2 linked regions of the Canis lupus familiaris genome follow. The protein of the gene in region 2 purifies or fractionates together with the protein of the main gene of each other region. This does not show direct contact. Links are inferred from orthologs where the notes say so. Each region holds a gene or a part of one and is shown on either strand. Other genes may lie near its edges.

Region 1 (10,253 bases), on a different chromosome or scaffold from region 2:
CAATAAAGCCCTCTCCCCCAAAAACTGCTCAATAAGTCTATGAGAGGAGAACCATGGTCACTCCGTTTTACAGATGGGAAACAAGAGGTCCAGAGAGGTTACAGAACTAGTTCATGGTCACACAGCTAGCCCAAGGCAGAACCAGGACTGGGCACAGGCTCTGACCAAGAGCCCACTCTCTGCTATTCTATCTCCTGTGAAAAACTAAGAAATCATTCCACAGAGCACATCTCCGTTACAGAAGCTGGACAAAGAAACACAAATCACTAGCATCCCACGCAAATGGCCAAAGGCACTCACTACTCACAATCCCTCAACTGACTTCATGGGCCAGGGCCCAGTAGGTCGGCAAATCCAAGGTTTGTGCTAAAAACAAAAACAAAAGTAATTGACTTGCAAAACATAGGACGCAGCATCTCAAGGCAGAAAGTGTGCCAGATCTGGGCTTTGCAGCCTACATGCGAGCCAAGATGAATCCCCAAGCTGCACATGCTTCCCTGAGTGGTTGAGGGCCCTGCAACCTAAGGGCGGACACGGCCAGGTTCTCATGCCTCCCTTTGTTGCAGTTGGTGACCCCATGGCCTGAGTCCCCCAACTCAGCCCAAAGATTAGAAACCTTTCTTCAGTTGCCTTTCTACTGGATACTGAGGGGCTACAGGACGTAAGGAAAAGCATTAAGAACCCAACCTCAGGAATGGACCTGCGGTCTGGCCTTTGCCCACCAGCCCAGCAGGGAGACAAGGTCCTGGGCCTCAGGCAGTAAGTTAGAGCAAGCACCAGGCAGGACAGAATGGATTTCACAGACATGACCAGTGAGTGGGCTCTGAGTGTCTCCTCCTGCTGGCAGCACCTTGCGCTCAGAGAAACAGTGGAGTTCCTACTAGATCCCCGAACCTATCATCCCAGAGCACACAGCCCCTGCCCTCATTGAGGGAATTAAGCTGCACTCACTACTTCATATCTGGGGTGGCAAACAAGTGCCCAACAGGTATGTTTTGTCTGGTCTGCACACTCGTTTTTTAAATTTTAACTAATTGACAAGCTTTAAGAAGAAAAAAATCAGGGGCGCCTGAGTGGCTCAGTGGGTTAAGCGTCTGCCTTGGGCTCAGGTGATGATGATCTTAGAGTTCTGAGATCAAGCCCTGTGTCAGGCTCCCTGCCTGCAGGGAACCTGCTTCTCCCTCTCCTCCCTGCTTGTGGTCTCTCTTTCAAATAAAAAAACAACAACAAATAAATAAATAAAAAGTGAAGAAGAAAGAAGAAGAAGAAGAAAGACTACATAGAAATCTAGATTGCTGACTACTCTGATAAACACAGTGCCTTGGCCACAAGGGGCCCACGTGCCTGAGGAACAAGGACTCTCAAGGAGCTCCCAGCACTTACTCCCCTGGAGGCTTTGGACCCAGATTCAGCAGGCTGCACCCCCACCTTGCCACAAAGCTGCCTGTGGGCACACCCTGAGTGCTTCTGCCCTGCTGCTCCCCCACACCGTAACCAGTGAGGCTTAAGTATGTACCTTTCCCCCCTCCAGACTTGGGCTCCTGGACAAAAGGGGGTCCCAGCTATAGCAATAAAGCCCCAAACACTCCCCTGCCCCCAGCACAGGCTCCCATATAAACCACAAGCACCTGTCACAGATTGTCTAGACCAAGGTCAATTTCTAATGTTTTTCCCGGTCCAGGTCCAAAGGCTAGCCAAGGAGACCATCTTGGGGTCACTGCCCGAGGGGACCCCACTGGCTCCCTCAAAGAGACTGCAAATCCCTCACTTTGATTTCACCTCCCAGGGCTAGTCCTTGACACCTTAGGAGGTCTTGTCTATGACTGGTGTTGTCCTAACTAGGCCCAGGCTCATCTGCCCTGCCCTGCACTTGGCAGGATGGTATCCCCAAATGTAAAGTGGTGAGGGCCTAAACACGGTCAAGTTTCTTCCTCCCTCAGGGATGAGTGGGAAGTCTCCAGGGAACAGGACTCTCTCCTTCAGTAAGTCACTGAGGGACCCTTCAGACCAAGGGCCCAGGGGTCCCAGGGGTCCCAGGGCCTACTCTGTGGCTCAAGTCTTTGTCTCCCACCCAATGACCCTCCTCCCCTGCTCTTCTCCACCCACACTGGGCCCCTAACCCTGGCCCAGTTTCCCAAAAGGGGGCCCACCATTTTGTTCTTCTTCCAGCCATCTTGTGGCTGCTTCGCAGCCTACCAGCCTGCCTTGCTGGGATACCAGACAAGGGAGGAAAAACAGCTGGTGGCTAGGGATGGTGTGGTCACGGCTGGCTGCTGGCTTTTTCAAGGTTGGCAGAGGGGGGGATTTTTAGGGGTCACCAGGGCTGAGAAGAAATACTACCCTAGAGTTACGGAATAAATGGTATTCCAGATACCTCTGTTCTCTGGATAAAATATAGGATGCTGAATTCAATTTGAATTTCAGATATGTAACATTTACATAAGTATGTGTAAGTATGTCCCAATACTGCATGGGACATACTTACACTAAAATTTATACACATATATCACTTATTTTTATTTTATTTTTTTTATATCACTTATTTTTAAAAAGTTATTTCATTGTTTATCCAAAATTCAAATTTAACTAGGTATCCTCTAATTTTATTTGCTAAATCTGGCAACCCGATGTCCCCGCTACTAGTGAAACGCATGGTTGGTGGCCACGCAGTTAATAAACAACCCAAAGCCTCAAGGACTGACTGGAAGGACTATTCTGAAAGTACAGTGAAGGTGAGATTTGACTTCTCAAGGGCCAGGGAAACCCTGGAAATAAAATGAAGTATTTTTTGCTTAAAACGGGCAGGGAAAAAAGAAAAAAGAAAAAAAAATTAGCAAAACATAAATGTTACAGCATCCACCTTACAATAAGGACACCATTAGTGACTGTTCCTATTTGCAGGAGTAAGTGCTTTTGGAGATACGATCCTGTTCTAAGAAGGAGAAAGCAGCACTGAGACCCGGTGCTGCCATGGCTCAAGAAGTTTGTCCAAGGTCACAGCAAGAAAGTGAACTGGAAGCCTGGCCATTAGACCCTGAAGTCTGAGGTCTTTATCATAACCTGTTTCCCAAAACACAGGGAGGGAGGGAGGGAGGGCAACACGTTCTTGTCCCCTTCCCCCAAACACAGGCCTGGCCAAGTGAGCTAGGCAATACTGCCCGCCTCCAGGCTGCCTGTCCTGCCACCCACAGGGCAGAAAACCCCATAGCTCCATCTGCCCTCCCTGCAGAGCAGCTGGCCGACTGGCCCTACAGGAGCAGCTGTCAGGGTGCAAGAGCCTCTGTCCTGCTGGGAACCTGGAGCAGAAAGCTCCACCACGCCTCCTTGAACAGAGAAAGGCAGCTTGCCCCCAGCCCCTTTCTCACCTCCTGGGCCCTGACAGAAGGGACCCAGGCCCAGACACTGGTTCTTTCTTTGCACAGGCTCTAAGACAGGGGACAACCCTAGCCTTCCCTCTGGGAATCCCACCAGAGAGGGGACTGTGGGCTTGTTTTCCTGTGTGTGTTTTGGCCTTGCAGCTGTTACTGCCATTTTTAAATGGCTCCAGTTAGGCACTGGGCACCCTGCGTGCCCTGGGGAGCTCCCACAGCCCCCGAAAACTCCGATCTCAACTTTGGAAGGCCTCCCCTTCTCACGGTTCTGAAAATTCTTTGTCCCATTGGAGCCAAACCCAGCCCTCGGCCGGGCATCCGGCCATCCGCAGAGAGCCCTTTCCATAGGAGGCCCAGGGGCACGTGGACTTTATTGATTTTCCTCTTGCCTTTTTTGTTGGGTTTGACTCAGAAAGGACAGCTAACTTGTGATCCGGCGAGGCTGGAGGCTCACCCCCAGCGGTTTTTAGAGACCAAGGCCTTACTCAAGAAATGCCACCCCTGAACATAAACACACCCCACCAGGGGCCTGCCCAGTTTTTTAGGCTTTAAGTCAAAGGTCAGGACGAGCTGGCGAGGGCTGACACTCGGGACGTCGAGGCTGCTCCTCCCTCTCCCTGACCCAGGTGAAGCCGTGGGAAAAACAAATAATAATAATAAAGTTGAAATCAAGGAGCTGGGAGTTTTCAACAAGTCCGCCCGGGGGGATGTGCTCGCGCGGCGACGTGCTTGCGCCCGGGGCCTGGCCCGCGGCGGCCGATGCGGGGCCAGACCCTCGACCGGAGGCGAACACGTTCGGTCGCGCGAATCGCGACGAGGCGGCGCCGGACGGACCCCGGCGTGAGCCCCGGGAACACGCGCGGCCGACGCCGAACCTTCTCTCCCCCGCGCAGAGAACAAAAACAACGGCTCTCTCGGCACCACGCACACGAGCCGCGGCTCTGGGAAGGGCAGACTCGGCCGAGGAGCGGCTTCGGGCCAGAAGGGTGGGCCCGGGCCGGCTGGAAGGGGGTGCCCGGCGCCCCGGGCCCGGGCCCGCCGCCGCCCGGCGCTTCCTCCTCGCGCTCGCCCCCATCTTTCTTCCTCGCCCAGAGCCCTCGCTCCAGGCAGCCCAAAGCGCTAAATTTAAACGGCTCGCGCTCTGCAAACTCCGCAGACTCGAGGGCGCCCGGGCCTGGGAGGCGGGGAGCGAGCGGCGAGCGAGCCAGCCGGCCGGGGAGGGAGGGGGAGGGAGGGGGAGGGAGGCCCGGCGCGCGGGCAGGGGCGCGGGGGCCGGCGCTGCGCCGCCCGGGGCGCGCGGGGAGGAGACGGAGACGGCGGCGGCCCGCTCGGAGCCTGCACAATGGAGCTCGCGCTCTCCCCTCCGCCGCCGGCATCGCGGCCCCGGCGCGCGGGAAGCCGCTTTCATGTGACTTGCACAAAACGAAATGGCTTCTGGGGCCGGCCCCGAGCCCCCCTCCCGGGAGCCGAGCGCCGCGGCGGGGCCGGCCCGCCGCTCCACCCGCCCGGCCCGGGGCGCCCCGCCGCCTCCAGGCTGCCGCCGCCGCCGCCGCCGCCGCCGCCGCCGCCACCGCGCCAGGTGGGCGACGGGCGCGAGCGCACCTGGGCAGCGGCCACGGCCCCCGCCTCGCGCAGGTGACCCGGCTCGCGCGCCGCCCGCCGCTCCAAGTCCCGGGCCCGCGGCGCCCGCCGGCTTTTTGTATGTGCTCCGGGGGTCGGGGCGGCCGCGGCGCCGGGCGGGCGGGCGGGAGGCGGGCAGGCGCCTCCGCTTACCATTTGCGCACTTTCTCGATAGCCGCCATGACCCTCTTGATATCATCTTTGGCGCGGCTCCTGGTCTCGGCTCGAACCGACCTGCCCGACATGGTTCTGGCGGGGAGAGAGAGGCTGGGGGAGCGCGCCCGCCGGGTCCTGCTCGCGCTCCGCGGCGGCCACACTCGCGCCCGCCCGCCCGCCCGCTCACTCACTCACACACTCACACACACACTCTCTCACACACTCACACACACTCACACACACACACACAAAGCCGGAGCCGCCGCGCGCCCGGGGCCCAGTGCGCAAGCGCCGGGCGCCAGCTGCACCGAGCAGGGGGAGCAGCGCCGCCGCGGCCGCCAGCAGTGCGGCCTCCGGGCGCCCCGCCGCCGCCCGCCCCGCGAGCCGCCCCCGCCCCCGGCCCGGCGCCCGCGACCCCCGCGACCCCCGCCACCCCCGCGCCCCCGGGGGAGGCGGCCGGCGGCCCCCGGCTCCCCGCGCCCCGCCGCCCGCTCGGCGCGCGGACACTCACTCGGAGGCCGAAGGGGCCGCGGGGTGCCCCCCGCTCCCCGGGAGGGCGGCCGGCCGTGCAGGGGGGCGCACTCCTTGGGAGCCACCTCGGCTGCCGGTGCGCGGCCCCGGGTGTGCGTGGCAGCGGGTGCAATAATGCAAGTTTCCTGTGGGGCTCCTGACTTCTCGGAGTTGAAGGCGGCGATTCGGGATGCGAGGTGCTCTTGGAGAGAGTTGGGAAACCAGGATCTCGGCTGGCCCTCCGCCCTGCGCAGACACGCGAGCTGGGACGTCGCTTCCCTTTCCCTCGTCCTTTTGGAAAACTAGAGCCGGAGGGAAGATGCCAGGACCCGGGCGACCACTAGCCGGTCGACCTTGCCTATTAATAGCTTTCCGCGAAGGAACAGCTCATCGATGATCAGCGTTTCAACTGGGGCTCCTCTTTTCCCTCTGGGGTTGCTGTCAGAAAAGCACCATTTAAATTTGAAGCCACTCCTGACCAAAGTCCCAGCCTCCGACCAGATGCTGCCAGCGCACAGATGACCCTAGCAGGTGAAACGGGCTGGCCGGCCTACAAGGAGGACTTTTGGGGGTGGTTTCTTCCCGCATGGTGCCTCAGGACAGCTCTGGGGAAGAATCTGCAATTATCAGGATAACCCAGGTGCCACATCTTTGTGTTCAGCGGCCACTACACCGACTGGACCAGAGCTACTTTGGGCCCAGATGGTTGCTAGGGAAACTGAGTGACCCTAGTAGCAAACCCAGTGTCTCTTAGAGATAAGCTAGTCCAACACCAGTCATTTTACCCGGGGAAACTGAGTCCCAGGGAAGTTCAAGGTCACAGTCATAAGCTGGATCCCAGACTCCCACTCATTCCAGAACCAAGCAGTTTCCCCTGAGATTTAGGTTTTTTTTTTTTAATTTTTATTTATTTATGATAGTCACACACACACACACACACACACACACACACAGGCAGAGACATAGGCAGAGGGAGAAGCAGGCTCCATGCACCAGGAGCCGGACGTGGGACTCGATCCCGGGTCTCCAGGATCGCACCCTGGGCCAAAGGCAGGCGCTAAACGGCTGCGCCACCTAGGGATCCCGAGATTTAGGTTTTGGGGAGAAAAGCTACTGGGGAAATAGAATGCCTAATACGAAAAATAAAATAATACCTCAGTGAATCATTCTGAACATTATATAGGAAAATGCGTCACAGCAGGCTATAAAACATTGTTCTCTACTCTTGACCCTCTGATGGCTTAGGGCCACAAAGAACTTCTGAATATATATGTCTGAAAAAAATAGAAAGATTTTTGGGGCACCTGGTTCACTGAGTCGGAGAAGCATGCATCTCTTGATCTCCAGGTAGTGAGTTTGAATCCCATATCAGGTATAGAAATTATATAAATAAATGAAACTTAAAAAAAATAAAATAGGAAGATATCAAAAGTTCAAAAACCAGGGTCACCTGGGTGGCTCAGTGGTTGAGCATCTGCCTTCAGCTCAGGGTGTGATCCCAGGGTCCTGGGATAGAGTCCCTCATCAGGCTCCCTACAGGGAGCCTGCTTCTTCCTCTGCCTCTGCCTATGTCTCTGCCTCTCTCTGTGTCTCTCATGAATAAAGAAATAAAATCTTCAGAAAAAAAATAAAAAACCGAACTGGTGAATGAATAAATGTGTATACCCACACAATAGAATGCTATTCAGGTGTTAAGAAGGAATGAAGTACTGATACATCCCACAGCATGGATGAACTTTGAAAGCATAATAAGTAAGATAAGCCAGTCACAAAAGGACAAATATTATATGATTCCACTTACATGAGATATCTAGACTGGGCAAATCCATTGAGACAAAGCAGACTGGTGGTTGCCAGGGGCTGGGGGTGGGGGTGGGAATAGAGAGGGACTTCCAAGGGGTATGAGGTTTTTTTTTTGGAGTGATGAAAAAGTTCTGGAATTAGATAATGGTGATTACTGTACACCATTGTGAATATACTTAATGTCACTGAACTGTACACCTAAAAATCTTACAGTGGTCAATTTTATATGTATTTACCACAATAAAAAGAAATCCAAATATCCAGCTCCTCCAAAAGTAGTGGAAAATCTGCAGACTGGTCCCCCAGTGCTACATGTAACAATCAGCTGAGGGTGAGGTGCCCTGTGGCCCTCAGAGGAAGCTTTCCAGGTCACCAGTGTGTCACCAGGTCTCTTTACTCACTCACATTACCAGATGGCCCCTGGACGTATTTGTGTTCTTGATCTCTGATTAAACTATAAGGCTTTCTACAAATGTTCTTTGTAAATCTAGAGTGTCACTTTCTATAGTTCCCTGTCCTCTGCAGATATTTTTTAACCTTCCTTTCAACAAAGCACAGTTGTTTTACAATCTGTGTCTGATAATTCTAATATTTCAAGTATCTCAGGATCTGTTTCTCCTAGTTCTTGCTCATGGTATCCTATTTCCTTGTGATCAGCCTGGTTCTCTTTGGCCATGCTAGGCACTGTATTTTAAGATTTATTTACAGTGATAATTTGAGGCTTAGGACGAAGTTACCTGCCTCCAGAGATTTACCTTTGTTTTTTTTTTTTTTTTGTTTTGTTTTGTTTTTGTTTTTTAGATTTTATTCATGAGAGACACAGAGAGAGAGGCAAAGACATAGTCAGAGGGAGAAGCAGGCTCCCTGCGGGGAGCCCTATGTGAGACTCGATCCCAGGACTCCAGGATCACAACCTGAGCCAAAGACAGACACTCAACCACTGAGCCACCCAGGCTCCCCTACGTTTGCTTCTGATAGGCTCCTGAGGGCACTGCTATTCCAGGACTACCTACATCCAGATTCAGGGCTTCTGGGTCCCTGGGCCACCCAGATGATACAAATACAGGCTGCCCTATTGAGCTAGTCTGGTTTGCTTAGTATCCTATGCAGGTTGGAGGGGGAAGGTGTATCAGTGATGTGAGCAGCTGGCTAACAGACCTACACTTTTCAACTTTGTGTACAGTGACCCCATGTTGATGGTTTGAAAACACCATGAAGGGATCCCTGGGTGGCGCAGCGGTTTGGCGCCTGCCTTTGGCCTAGGGCACGATCCTGGAGACCCGGGATCGAATCCCACGTCGGGCTCCCTGTGCAGGGAGCCTGCTTCTCCCTCTGCCTGTGTCTCTGCCTTTCTCTCTCTCTCTCTCTCTCTCTGTGTGACTATCAAAAATAAATAAATTTAAAAAAAAAATGAAAACACCATGAAAATTGGCAAAGCTATATGTCAGGATCTTTTCCCCAACCCCACCCAAAGCTGGTTGGTAAACATTTACCAGCATACCAATAGGGTCTCAAATTATTGTGGGGCAAGTCTCATCTCCCACCTGGACTTTTATTTCTGGCCTCTTAGCTCAAAAAACCATTCATGCTAGAGTTCAAATATTCTAGACTGATTATCTGCAGGGTTAAGATGGCTTCTTTGATGGATTATCTTTCAGGGTTCTCTTTTTCCTTCAATTTCTGCTATTCCTTATTATTTTGTCAGCATGTGGTGGCTTTTTAGAATGTTTTCAAATACTTTTTCTACCATTTTTAGTAGCTTTTAGCTTGAGAGGTTGTCTGGAACCCTGGTTACCGGAAAATGGAAGTCAGGCTCTCTCTGAATGTTGGTTATTATTTTAGATATGTTAAAAGAGAGATCATAGGGTTATAGAAGTGAGTTATTTTGTTGTGGCTTGTGTCTTAACCTCTCTGGGCCTCATCTGTAAAATAGAATGGAAATAACACATGCCTCGTGGAGCTATCATGAGAACTAAACACAGTATTTGCCAAGGACTTAGAACAGTGCTTGGCACATAGTAAAAGTGCTAGAGACCAGAAAGTATTTGTTGAATAAAGGAGCTGGTGACCCCTTGCATCATTGTGACCCACGCTAGGTCAACTACCTCTCTTTCCTGGGCTGTTCAATTCAACCCTTAATCCACTGTTATCTGGGGGGTTGAGGAAGTTTCCACCTCTGGAGTGTGATACATAATTGTAAGGAAGTGCAGACCCTGCTCCAGCTTCTCGGCAGCCTTGGTCCTCACCTAGCAACTTGCAGCAGCAAGTTGTTTTCGTAAACAGAGATGCTTTGGTGTTTGGGGAGAAGGCCATTAGCAAAGGGAGAGTACCAAAGAGAAAGGACTATAGTCCCCTCCTCAGAGACAAGAGCCAAAGGGAGTACTACCGGGTATGAAACCCCTCTCCTATTGCAGAGAAGGACACTAAAACTCAGAAGTCACACAGCCAGTTAGCAGGCTTCTGGCCAGAACCCTACTCTCCTCTTGTGGTTTCCAGGATTCCTCACTCCACATCCATCATAAGATTGGAAGTCAGCATGGTGGGAATGTTGACACTATGGAAATTAGCAAGTGCTATACATCAGGACCCTCCTGGTCCTCCTCCACCCGGAGCTGATTGGCAAATGTTTACCAGCATACCACTGGTGGAGCCTAATGGGGTCCCAAACGATAGACTGGGGATGTCTTGAAAAAAATTTTTCTTTGACAAACTAGATACTGCAATCTGCCTCTCCATCTTTCTTGCCTGAAACTACAACTCAGATGCTCACCAGTTCAAATACTAGTTGATTGG
Region 2 (10,484 bases):
AACTTGTGTTGGAGCAAAAGACTCCATTCCAGATCCATTCCAGAGTTGCTACGAGAAACTTCCCCACTCACTGGATCTTTTTCCTATCTCAGTAAAATGGCAGTGGAAGAAAGCTTTACCCGATCAGGGCTGAAAGAAATACCCACCTAGAATATTTGATTTTCCTTCTGATTTTCTGCCCTCTACCCTCCACTTTCAAAAATTTCCCTTACAATCATTTTACATGTGTGAAATTTTCCTCGATTGGTTTTAAAGGAAAGTAAAAACAAAAGCAGCCTACATTGGTTTAATATGGGAAGTCAAAGATAATAGACTTTTCCTGTTCCTGGGCAATAGCCTTCAATATTAAGATTGCTGACCTTATCTTTCCTTGGTAATATTGTTGGTACTTAGCTCTCCAAATCTAAAAACAACTTAGTGTAATATGTACCAAGTACAAAATCATTAAGTTTCTCTTCTGATGGAATATAAAGTGGCTTTCAATCTTTTTTGGAAGTAGGTTTCTCATATACTATTTTTGTGTCAGTTGGTGAATACAAACCTTTGGTGGGGCTCAGCAGAAATGTCCAAATTCCTGATCTGTCCAATGGTTTTATAAAACTCCAGTTCAGGTATGTTTGTTTGTCTTTAAAATATTGTTACCAGTTGTACTCTGGTTTCTCCAAAAGAATAGCTGGCAAGCTCACCAATGAGATTGGCGGATAAGGAAAAGGTACATATTAGAATGTGAGAATTGATACCCATTTCCTCATGTTATATTGAACCTAGGTTGTTAGGTTTTGTTTGAAATCTGCCACAAACCAGACCAGCGTGGATCTTTATTTTATTTCTGATTTTAGTTTTTGGGGAGGTGTCAGTGAAGGTAATTCTCATTTTATGTTGGTACCAAAAAAAGCAAGCTGATTGGACATTCAAAGGTATTTTTGCAGAGCTACTCTTCCGATGGAGGGGGAAAAAAAGAAAGCCTCATTTAGAAATTAACATTTCTCAAAATGTGTTCTTTATTATTCTAAATGTAAATTCCTCCAAATTATTCTAAAACTTTGAGATGAATGGAAGAAAGCATCTACACAAATAGTTGTTGAGCGCCCGCCAAACTCGATGCCTCTGGGGTTGCTGCTTTATCATTCTAGGTGCCGGGCAGGCACAATTTTACCGCTAAGAGCTGTTGTGCGCCATTTAGACTCCATTCCATTTTTCTCTGTGGCGATCCAGTTCGTGTCTTACAGCTCCCGTCTGGGAGCCGATAATATAATGAATTGCCTTGACTCTCGCTTCAATCCACTTTCCTCGCTTAATATGCAGCCCAAAGTTTTGCTGCTCGCTGTCAGATGGTAGTGCTAGACTTTCACACTGCTCCCAAAGCCTCCGCTGGGGCTGTTTCTGAACACGGAGTTACAAACTTTAAGAAGCAGGCAGTTCCAGACGGAAATCCACGCCGGGATTTGAACTCTGCTTCTGGCTTCCGTCAACTGACATAGTTGCCCTTTTGCTCAAACTCGCAGCTCCAGTTCGCACTCGGGAGAGCTCCGCTGGGTGTCTGCTGCTTTGCCGCGGCGGGGACGCGTGTGGGGGCCACAACCCGACTCTCCTCCGATTCCCTGCGCCTTTTTCAGAACCAAGGCAAACCCTCACTAGGGTCCCGCGGCGTAAAACGTTTTCCCCCAGAAGGAGTGGGGAAAGGAAGGAGCCGAGCCCCATCTTTTGTTTGTTTGTTGAGTTTTGTATTTCGGACACTGAGGGGAAGCAAATTGCGAGAAAGGAAGGGCTGTCCTCCCAGCAAACGTTTCCCCCTCTTAGCAAGCCCTCCAGGCCTCGGTTCCACATTTTGCAGTTGACTGCGTGGATTTTAATAGGTTGTTCCTTTATTTTCGGGCCCAATCCATGCACACTGTACAAGCCGGATAAAATGAGAGCACATCCTCTGCCATTTTCAGGCGGTTTGCCCTGGCAGCCCTGCCCCCCTCCTTGGCTGCCGCAGCCGCTGGAGTTAAAGCTGAGCGCCGAAACTCCGCCTGATCCGTTGGGCGGGAGATCCAGTCCACGTTTGCCAAGTGCTGTGCGGTCGGGGATGGCGATAAGAACTCTCTTGTGAGGGAGTGAGCAAGACTTTAGTCCGGTTTCCATGTCAACGATTCAGTCCATATTTGCCATCAGGCTGTTGGTGGCTGAGGCGCTTTCGTGAGGGTAGCGCTGTCCTAGTCCTAGTTCTCCAATCTGCGCCGGGATTCCTGAGCTGCCTGGGTGTGGGGTTAAAACACTGGGGCTGTGGGGGAGAAAAGTCCACGGGGAGAACCCGCAGCCCCAAACCTGGGTCCTGGAGCTCCGGCCAGCCACGTGCCCAGTACCTCCCCTCCCCCCTTTCCCGCTGCCATTGCCCCTAGGGAAAGCTGATGGGCCAGTTTCTAAGAAAGTTCCCTTCAACTCGGGAGTCCTTGGGATAGTGGCATAGGGCTCTAAGGGTAGGGGTGGAAGAGAATCCTAAAGGATTGGAGATTTAAGACAAATGGAAAAAGAGAAATTCCACATTGCCTCCTCCAGCCCAGGTGGATAGATTGTTAAATGCACTTTACCTTGTTGCTAGATAAAAATGGTGGCTGTTTTCAAAACAGCTCGCCCACGTGTAGGAAAGGGATTTGGGCACTTTCCGAATTTCACAACCATTGAAAAAGGGATGAGGGCTTTCTCTGGAGACAGATCCATTTTGGCTTCCAGATTTTCACTGGGCTCCAGGTTTCCCATTACACTCCAGCTCTGAGGAAAATGGCAGGGTAATTGCATGTAAAAAGTCCTCATTTGTGTGCAGGACTCAGGACTGTTTGCCAGCTCAGAAGCAGTTGATTAAATAGCCAAGCTCCATTTATGAGGCAGCCTATAATTTGGTTTCTAGGACCTAATGCACCGGGAGAGTAGTTGCCCCTGAGGACTTCAGTGAGTGAAACGAGGGCACTGGCCCATTCCAGTCAGTCAGAGCCTGATAGTTTGATTCTTGGCTTGAGACAGAACCCCCCCACCCCCACCAGTCTTAGATTAACAAGAAGGTTTTGCCTTTGTAGTGTAAGATCATATTATGTTTTCTTCAGAGTAGGGATGACTTCAGGTTTTTGGAATTACTCACGGTGACCAGTGGCATGGCTAGAACTTGTCGAAGGGGCCTGCATGATCTGGAAGTTCTAATATAATGGATCTGTGGCCATGAAGTCTCCATTTATAAAATCTGAGGGGGAAAGAGGCTCTGGTGTCTAGTGACTATAGCCTGGGCCTCTCCTAAGGCAGCCTTGGGCCTGGTGAGGAGCTGGAATCCCCTCTGGCTTTTGTAGCCTGTCACGTCAGAGCATTCCAAGTCAGCATGAGGAGGAAAAGGCTGCTGCTGGGATTTGATAGGGCCTGTAGCTCTATCTAGAGTTTTCTATGTATACCTCTAGCTCAACTGGCATCTCTTGGAATATAATAGTAAACTTTGAAGAATCTTTACACTGGAGGATAGAAAACAAATTTAGTTGCATCCATTTTCTAAGTGACCTGTTAGACTGCCCCTTTTCTCTCTTTAAGGAGAAAATGGGGGGCACCTGGGTGGCTTAGTGGTTGAGCATCTGCCTTTGGCTCAGGTCATGATCCCAGGGTCCTGGGATGCAGTCCCTGCAGGGAGCCTGCTTCTCCCTCTGCCTCTACCTCTGCCTCTCTCTGTGTCTCTCATGAATGAATAAAATCTTTAAAATAATAAGAGAGAAAACGGATTCCCTCCCAGCAGCCATTCTTCTTCTGCACTGGTGCCTTTGAACAGTTTCCTCCAGTCCCTGGAGCCTCTTCTGTCCACTGCTCACATTCTTATAGGTATTGTCTTCAGAGACTGGGACTATTGGTCATTGTGGGCTAAGTTCTCCCAGGAGGAAAAGATCGGGCTTGAGTTCTCCTGAGAAGGCTGTCATATGCCCCCAAAGTAGTTTCAGTGGTCATCATCTTATGTCGGCGTTGAGATGATCTAAGGTTGAGATGATCAGCTTTGATCTCAAACCCATTCTTCTGTTCCCATTGTTGGATACGGCACACGACTTGATTGCTTTTTTTTTTTTTTTTTTTTAAGGCTAAGTAGATGGGAAAACTTGGGGAACTTGGCTACTTTTTAAAATCACCCTCTGCCCTCTGACAGGGCAGTCCCTTTCCCTCTGTGTTCCAATTCTCTAAAATGGGGATAATCGGACCTCATGGCCCCCCAGGCCCATGGGCCTTATGAGGCCGGGCTAATGAGGGTAGGGGAGTGGGAAAACGGAAAGTCTGAACAATGATCTGTCATTCCGTTGGGCTTGCAAAGGGGATAAAATGTAAGGCCCTGCTCGCTCACTCAGCTGGGTCTTTAAGACCGGGTTTGTAAAAGGCTTTGAAGAAAAGTGCTGTAGAGGTGCTAAGTAGCAGCCAAGAGACCAGGCCCGCTGCCAGGGGGTCAGGCCTGGGCCGAGGCGGCCGCGGTCTCGGGCTCTGGCCAATTTTGCAGCCGCGAGTAAAGTTCACGCTGCCCGCTCCCCTCGGTGCGGCCTGGAGGGGACCGACCCGGATAGGAACGCCAGAAGGGAGGCGGCGCAGGCTCCGAGAGGCGCGGGCTCCGGGCCGGGTTTTCCCCGAAGCCTTCAGCGGCGGCGCTGCCGAGCGAAAGCGGCAGAGGGCCTGCCGCCGCCGCGGCTCGTTCTCTCCCCTCCTCCTTTGTGAGGGGAAGGGAGCGAGTCCGTTCCATGGCCTGCGCCCGCTCCGCGCTCCATTCCGGGTTTGCCAGGCGGCCGCGACGGCGCTGGGTAAAATGGCAGTGCTGAGCCTCGTGTCGGAGTGAGGGGGACTCGGAGGAGAGTGGGGCGCTCTAGCCGCTCAGTCCGGCCGCCCGCCCGCCCGCCAGCCCGCTGCCGCGCAGCAGCCTCGGCCCGCGCCGCGGCCGGGGAGGGGAGGCAGGGCGCCCGGCCCGGCCCGCGCTCCGACTCTGCCTCCCGGCGCCCGGGCTGCTGCCGCGCGCCCTCCAGCCCGCCCGTCCCGGGTCCCCCTCCCCCCGCTCCCTCCCTCCCTCCCTCCCCGCCCCCTCCCCCTCGCCTCCCTCCCTCCCTCCCTCCTCCTTTCTCCGGCAGCAGAAAGCGGAGAGTCACAGCGGGGCCAGGCCCTGGGGAGCGGAGCCTCCACCGCCCCCCTCATTCCCAGGCAAGGGCTTGGGGGGAATGAGCCGGGAGAGCCGGGTCCCGAGCCTACAGAGCCGGGAGCAGCTGAGCCGCCGGCGCCTCGGCCGCCGCCGCCTCCTCCTCCTCCGCCGCCGCCAGCCCGGAGCCTGAGCCGGCGGGGCGGGGGGGAGAGGAGCGAGCGAGCGAGCGCCGCGCAGCAGCGGAGCCCCGCGAGGCCCGCCCGGGCGGGTGGGGAGGGCAGCCCGGGGGACTCGGCCCCGGGGCGGGGTGGGAGGGGGGGAGAAGACGAAGACAGGGCCGGGTCTCTCCGCGGACGAGACAGCGGGGATCATGGCCGCGCAGGTCGCCCCCGCCGCCGCCAGCAGCCTGGGCAACCCGCCGCCGCCGCCCTCGGAGCTGAAGAAAGCGGAGCAGCAGCAGCGGGAGGAGGCGGGGGGCGAGGCGGCGGCGGCGGCAGCGGCCGAGCGCGGGGAAATGAAGGCAGCCGCCGGGCAGGAGAGCGAGGGCCCCGCCGTGGGGCCGCCGCAGCCACTGGGAAAGGAGCTGCAGGACGGGGCCGAGAGCAATGGGGGTGGCGGCGGCGGTGGAGCCGGCGCCGGCGGCGGGCCCGGCGCGGAGCCGGACCTGAAGAACTCGAACGGGAACGCGGGCCCTAGGCCCGCCCTGAACAATAACCTCACGGAGCCGCCCGGCGGCGGCGGCGGCGGCAGCAGCGATGGGGTGGGGGCGCCTCCTCACTCAGCCGCGGCCGCCTTGCCGCCCCCAGCCTACGGCTTCGGGCAACCCTACGGCCGGAGCCCGTCTGCCGTCGCCGCCGCGGCGGCCGCCGTCTTCCACCAACAACATGGCGGACAACAAAGCCCTGGCCTGGCAGCGCTGCAGAGCGGCGGCGGCGGCGGGGGCCTGGAGCCCTACGCGGGGCCCCAGCAGAACTCGCACGACCACGGCTTCCCCAACCACCAGTACAACTCCTACTACCCCAACCGCAGCGCCTACCCCCCGCCCCCCCAGGCCTACGCGCTGAGCTCCCCGAGAGGTGGCACTCCGGGCTCCGGCGCGGCGGCGGCCGCCGGCTCCAAGCCGCCTCCGTCTTCCAGCGCCTCCGCCTCCTCGTCGTCTTCGTCCTTCGCTCAGCAGCGCTTCGGGGCCATGGGGGGAGGCGGCCCCTCAGCGGCCGGCGGGGGAACCCCCCAGCCCACCGCCACCCCCACCCTCAACCAACTGCTCACGTCGCCCAGCTCGGCCCGGGGCTACCAGGGCTACCCCGGGGGCGACTACGGCGGCGGGCCCCAGGACGGGGGCGCCGGCAAGGGCCCGGCGGACATGGCCTCGCAGTGCTGGGGGGCTGCGGCGGCGGCGGCGGCGGCGGCAGCAGCCGCCTCGGGAGGGGCCCAACAAAGGAGCCACCACGCGCCCATGAGCCCCGGGAGCAGCGGCGGCGGGGCGCAGCCGCTCGCCCGGACCCCGCAGGTACACAGCTGAGTGGGGAGGGGGCCGGGGCGAGCGGGGTCCTGGGAGTGGGTGGCGGCTGCGGGGAGCAGGCCACAGCCTTGGGCTACCCCCAGTCCGGGGCCCCCACTGCTGGGGAGCTGCCATTGTCTGGCTCTTCTCTTAAAATGGCTGCCTGTCTGCCTTCCTCTCCTTCCCTCCTTCAGCCTTTGTGTGGGGCTTTCCCTGAGGTGTCTGCTCCCCTTCTCCCTCTCCCCTGGTCCCTTCGCGCTCCTGGGGTCTTCGAGGGGGTGCGGGGCAGAATGTGCGGGGAAGGGCCTGGCCCGGGGTTGAGGGGTGTGTTGGGGGCTCAGGTTGGGGTGTGCAGAGCTAGGAGCTCGGGAGTTGAGTGAACAATTCTTTGCTCACCTGCCGCTCCTCTCTGCCCGCCCTCCTGCCTTCCTCTAGGCCGTTCCCCATCTGTGCTTTCAAGGAGGGGCCCCTCGGGCTCTGGGGTACCTCGGGGGAGGGCAGGGGCCTGCTTGGGGGCAGCTAAAGGCCGGCTGCGGTTCACCCAGGGCAGCCCGGGCCATCTCCTGTCTTAGTCTCCGTCGGCCCAGTGGCCTGGGCTTCTCCCTGGAAGTGCTGGTAAACAGCTGAGTGATTGGAGTAGTAAGTGCAGATTGCTTTGGTTTGGGATTTGAATTATGGAGGTAAAATCCTTCTGTCAAAGCCAGGAGACAGTTGGTCTTAGGTTGACATCCTATCTGTGATCTGATTGGCTCCCCATCTCCTGCTCTTGGCCATTTATAATTGCCTCTGATGTAATGGTACAACAATCCTGATGAGCTCATAAACTTTTACACTCTGCTTTTCTGCCAGTGATAACCCAAACCATCGCTGCCACTATCTGCCTTTTATTCCAGAGCTGAAATTGGCTGTGACCTTGAGGAGGAAGGTTTAAGCAGCAATACTGTATCAGCAGGAGCAGAGCCCCAGACAGGCTGCCCTTGTTACATTGTGCCGAAACAAAAGAGGAGGCAGTGGCATTTTGCTTGTACCTTGGATTTATTTTGCTTGTTATGTTTTATGCAGCCTGAAATAGATTCTGTGTTGTCAGAACAGTAGCTGAGTTTTTCTCTACAATGGGTTTGCTGTTTGTTTTGGTTTTGTGACTTTCCTGGTGGTATAAATGACTTCTTTGATGGCTCTGAAGATGCATTTGTCTTGAGTAATTTTGACCCTGTTCGCGTTGCAGAATTGAGATTATTTTACTGGGATTTTTATTGAGTGACAAATGTGGGATCTTTATGGGAGGGGGTAGAAGAAAACTTTTTTTTTCTTTTTCTTTTTTTTTTTTTTTTTTTTTGAACTGGAAGCTTCCTGAGAGAATTTCATATTACGTTCAAGTGTTCTGTTTTAAGGAAGACTGGCCTCATTCTTTGTTTACATGTTGAATCTTGTTAACTCTTTTGTTAATTGAACTTTGAGAAAGCAGCTCAATTTAAAGAGAAGCCGATATCTTTTATGATCTTGGGAGGGACTTTCTCCTAAAGGCCTGGTTTGGTAAAATTTATCATTTGTTCCTGGGATATCAAAAAGGCTAGTTTTCTGTTTTGTCATCAGTCACTTTAGAGCTTTGAGATAGAGGTCAACTAATTTTTTCTTTGCATTTTAAGGTATGTTCCATTGTGTTTTCTGTGTTCCAAGATAATGAAAATATCACCTATAATGATACTTGATACTTGCTTAGAAATGACAACATTTAGGTACATTTTTATGCATTCTAGTTTATTTTGCTCTTAATATCCCTTCATGTTCTTACTTCAGTGCTTTAGTCAAGAATATTGGGTATTCTGTGGAGTCCTGTATCTTTTCAGAGAGAAAAAGCTCTTTGTGCCCCCACCACCACCACCCTAGCAGTACCCAGTTGTACCTTCCTGCTATTAGATTTTGTTCACTGATGAGCCGTATTCCTTCCTCATCCTAGAACTGCTTTCCTCTTCTATTGAGCTGGGAATTATGAAAATAGCTGTATTAAATGGCAGATTTAGATCTCTGTGCCTTGACTCTACATTGTCTGTAATGTTCTGTGTTTGGGCAAGAAACGGAAATTTTAAATTGAATTTCTGGTGCTAGAGGATTAAGTTTTGTCTTAGAAAAGAGAGTATCCTCTTGTCTCTGGATAAGAGACCTATTACATCTTTTTCCCCTTGAGGGGAGAGGGTCTGAGCCATTTACCTTTCTTAAATTTTTAGAGGAAGTAATTTGGGTAGGTCCAGACTCATTTAAAAGCAAAAATTAGTTTGAATTATGTTGGTTTGAGGGTATTCAGGCATACACTTTGTTTTTGGGGGGGGGGATAAAACCAACTTTTGCCATATAGTGATTTCTGGTTTTCAGTCATTAAACAAATATTTGAGCACTTTTTATGTGCTAAGTACTATGCTCTGTGCTGAGTAAATGGTAGAAAAATAGATGTAGTCCCTCTCTGGAAGCTTGTCTGTGCTGCCTCTGGGTGAATTTTTTGGATTCACTTTTAACACTAACTGTTCTTAGCACTTCATGCAACATAAGTTCCTGTTCAATTTCAGTTCACTTGCTTACTCCCCTGATACCCAGAGAATGGGCTGGTGAGTGTTCACTTGTGGGAAGAGACCGTGCAACTTTTTCAGTTTTGTGGTAGGCTCCATGCGGCATGTAGGTGGATAGATTTTGATATGAATTCCTCTTTGCTACTTAGGGATAAATCTCTTGTCAGACGATGATGGCTTATTCTTAAGCATTCTTAAATAATAGGGTCTTGCTCTGTCCCATTCTCAGTCTTGGATTAAGACTGTTTTGCAGAGAATTGATTGACACAGCTAAGGTGGTAATGTTCTCATTTGACTCTTCCTTTATGAAATAAAGATTAGCTAAGTGTTTGTATTGTGGCTCTGTCTTTTTCACAGGAGCGGGAGGATCCCAGCAGGCAAACTTTTCCTTTATCGCTTTCCATAACTAATAGTGTGTCTCAAGGTGTTGAATCCTGCTACTGCTGAAATACTTTTTGGTCACCTATGCACTTGAACCTCATGTAAAGTTTTTTATTTGGGATGCTGTTAGCTCTCATACCTTGAGAGTAGTATCAGCTCATCAAAGTAAAAAATGAAATAGAATATGTAGTCCAGGATCAAGATGGATTTGATTGTAGAAGTTTGGCTGTTAGTTCTTGGTATAGAAATATAAAATGATATTTCTTACTCCTGGGAAACAAATACAAGAATCTTGGGCTTATTATGGGAATGCCTACTGGCAGAAATTCTGGGCTGGCTAAAATACAGGACTCTTGGAGCTCTCTCAAGTAGGAGGGACCAGGAAAACCACACTGAGACGGCACTTAGTTGTGAGGCTTCATGTTTCTCTACTGTCCATGAGAGAACTAGGGATGATGGGGGTTGGGATGGTGGCAAGTGAAGAGAAAGCATCAGAACCAAGGTTGGCTTCTTTGTATTAGGCCCTGCAAGGACTTTTTAAGGTTCCTTCCTTTGTATGTGACACAGAGTAAACCATGACAAGTGGCACCTGCTGTAATAAGATGTCTTGGATTGCATTAAACATTCATCTGTTGGATTGATTCCTGTAGGTGTGCTGTCTAAAGTAGGCTTTGGCAGCAAGGTTAGTGAAACTCTTTTTTAAAATGTGGAAATAGGCTAACAAAGTAATGATCAGGGCCCTTTCCCAATAGCTCCCCCACCGCCGCTGCCCTGCTCCCCCCTTCAAGGTTGTATTGGTTGGCTTCAAATCCCAAAATTCTAGAAGCAACTGAACCAAGCAAATGTCTGGTTAAAATATGGTATTCAAAATACGTTGGGACTGAATTGTTCTTTCCTGCCAGTGAGCTAGGATACCTTGGTCTTT

What was found. The genes of interacting proteins can lie anywhere in the genome.
Region 1: the proteins of ARID1A (region 2) and BCL7A purify together in Homo sapiens (affinity purification with mass spectrometry; 5 studies listed by BioGRID and IntAct, counting the BioPlex papers as one, with this or other methods). This does not show direct contact. The link is inferred for Canis lupus familiaris from reciprocal best matches to the Homo sapiens genes ARID1A and BCL7A.

The regions. Positions count from the first base shown.
Region 1 is NC_049247.1:7,520,027-7,530,279, forward strand, and holds the start of BCL7A (B-cell CLL/lymphoma 7 protein family member A), read right to left. Parts: upstream 5,842-10,253; 5' UTR 5,659-5,841; intron 5,322-5,658; exon of another isoform or gene 5,241-5,321; 5' UTR 5,237-5,240; coding exon 5,145-5,236; intron 1-5,144.
Region 2 is NC_049223.1:72,793,153-72,803,636, reverse strand, and holds the start of ARID1A (AT-rich interactive domain-containing protein 1A), read left to right. Parts: upstream 1-5,471; 5' UTR 5,472-5,486; coding exon 5,487-6,626; intron 6,627-10,484. UniProt on the Homo sapiens protein: Involved in transcriptional activation and repression of select genes by chromatin remodeling (alteration of DNA-nucleosome topology).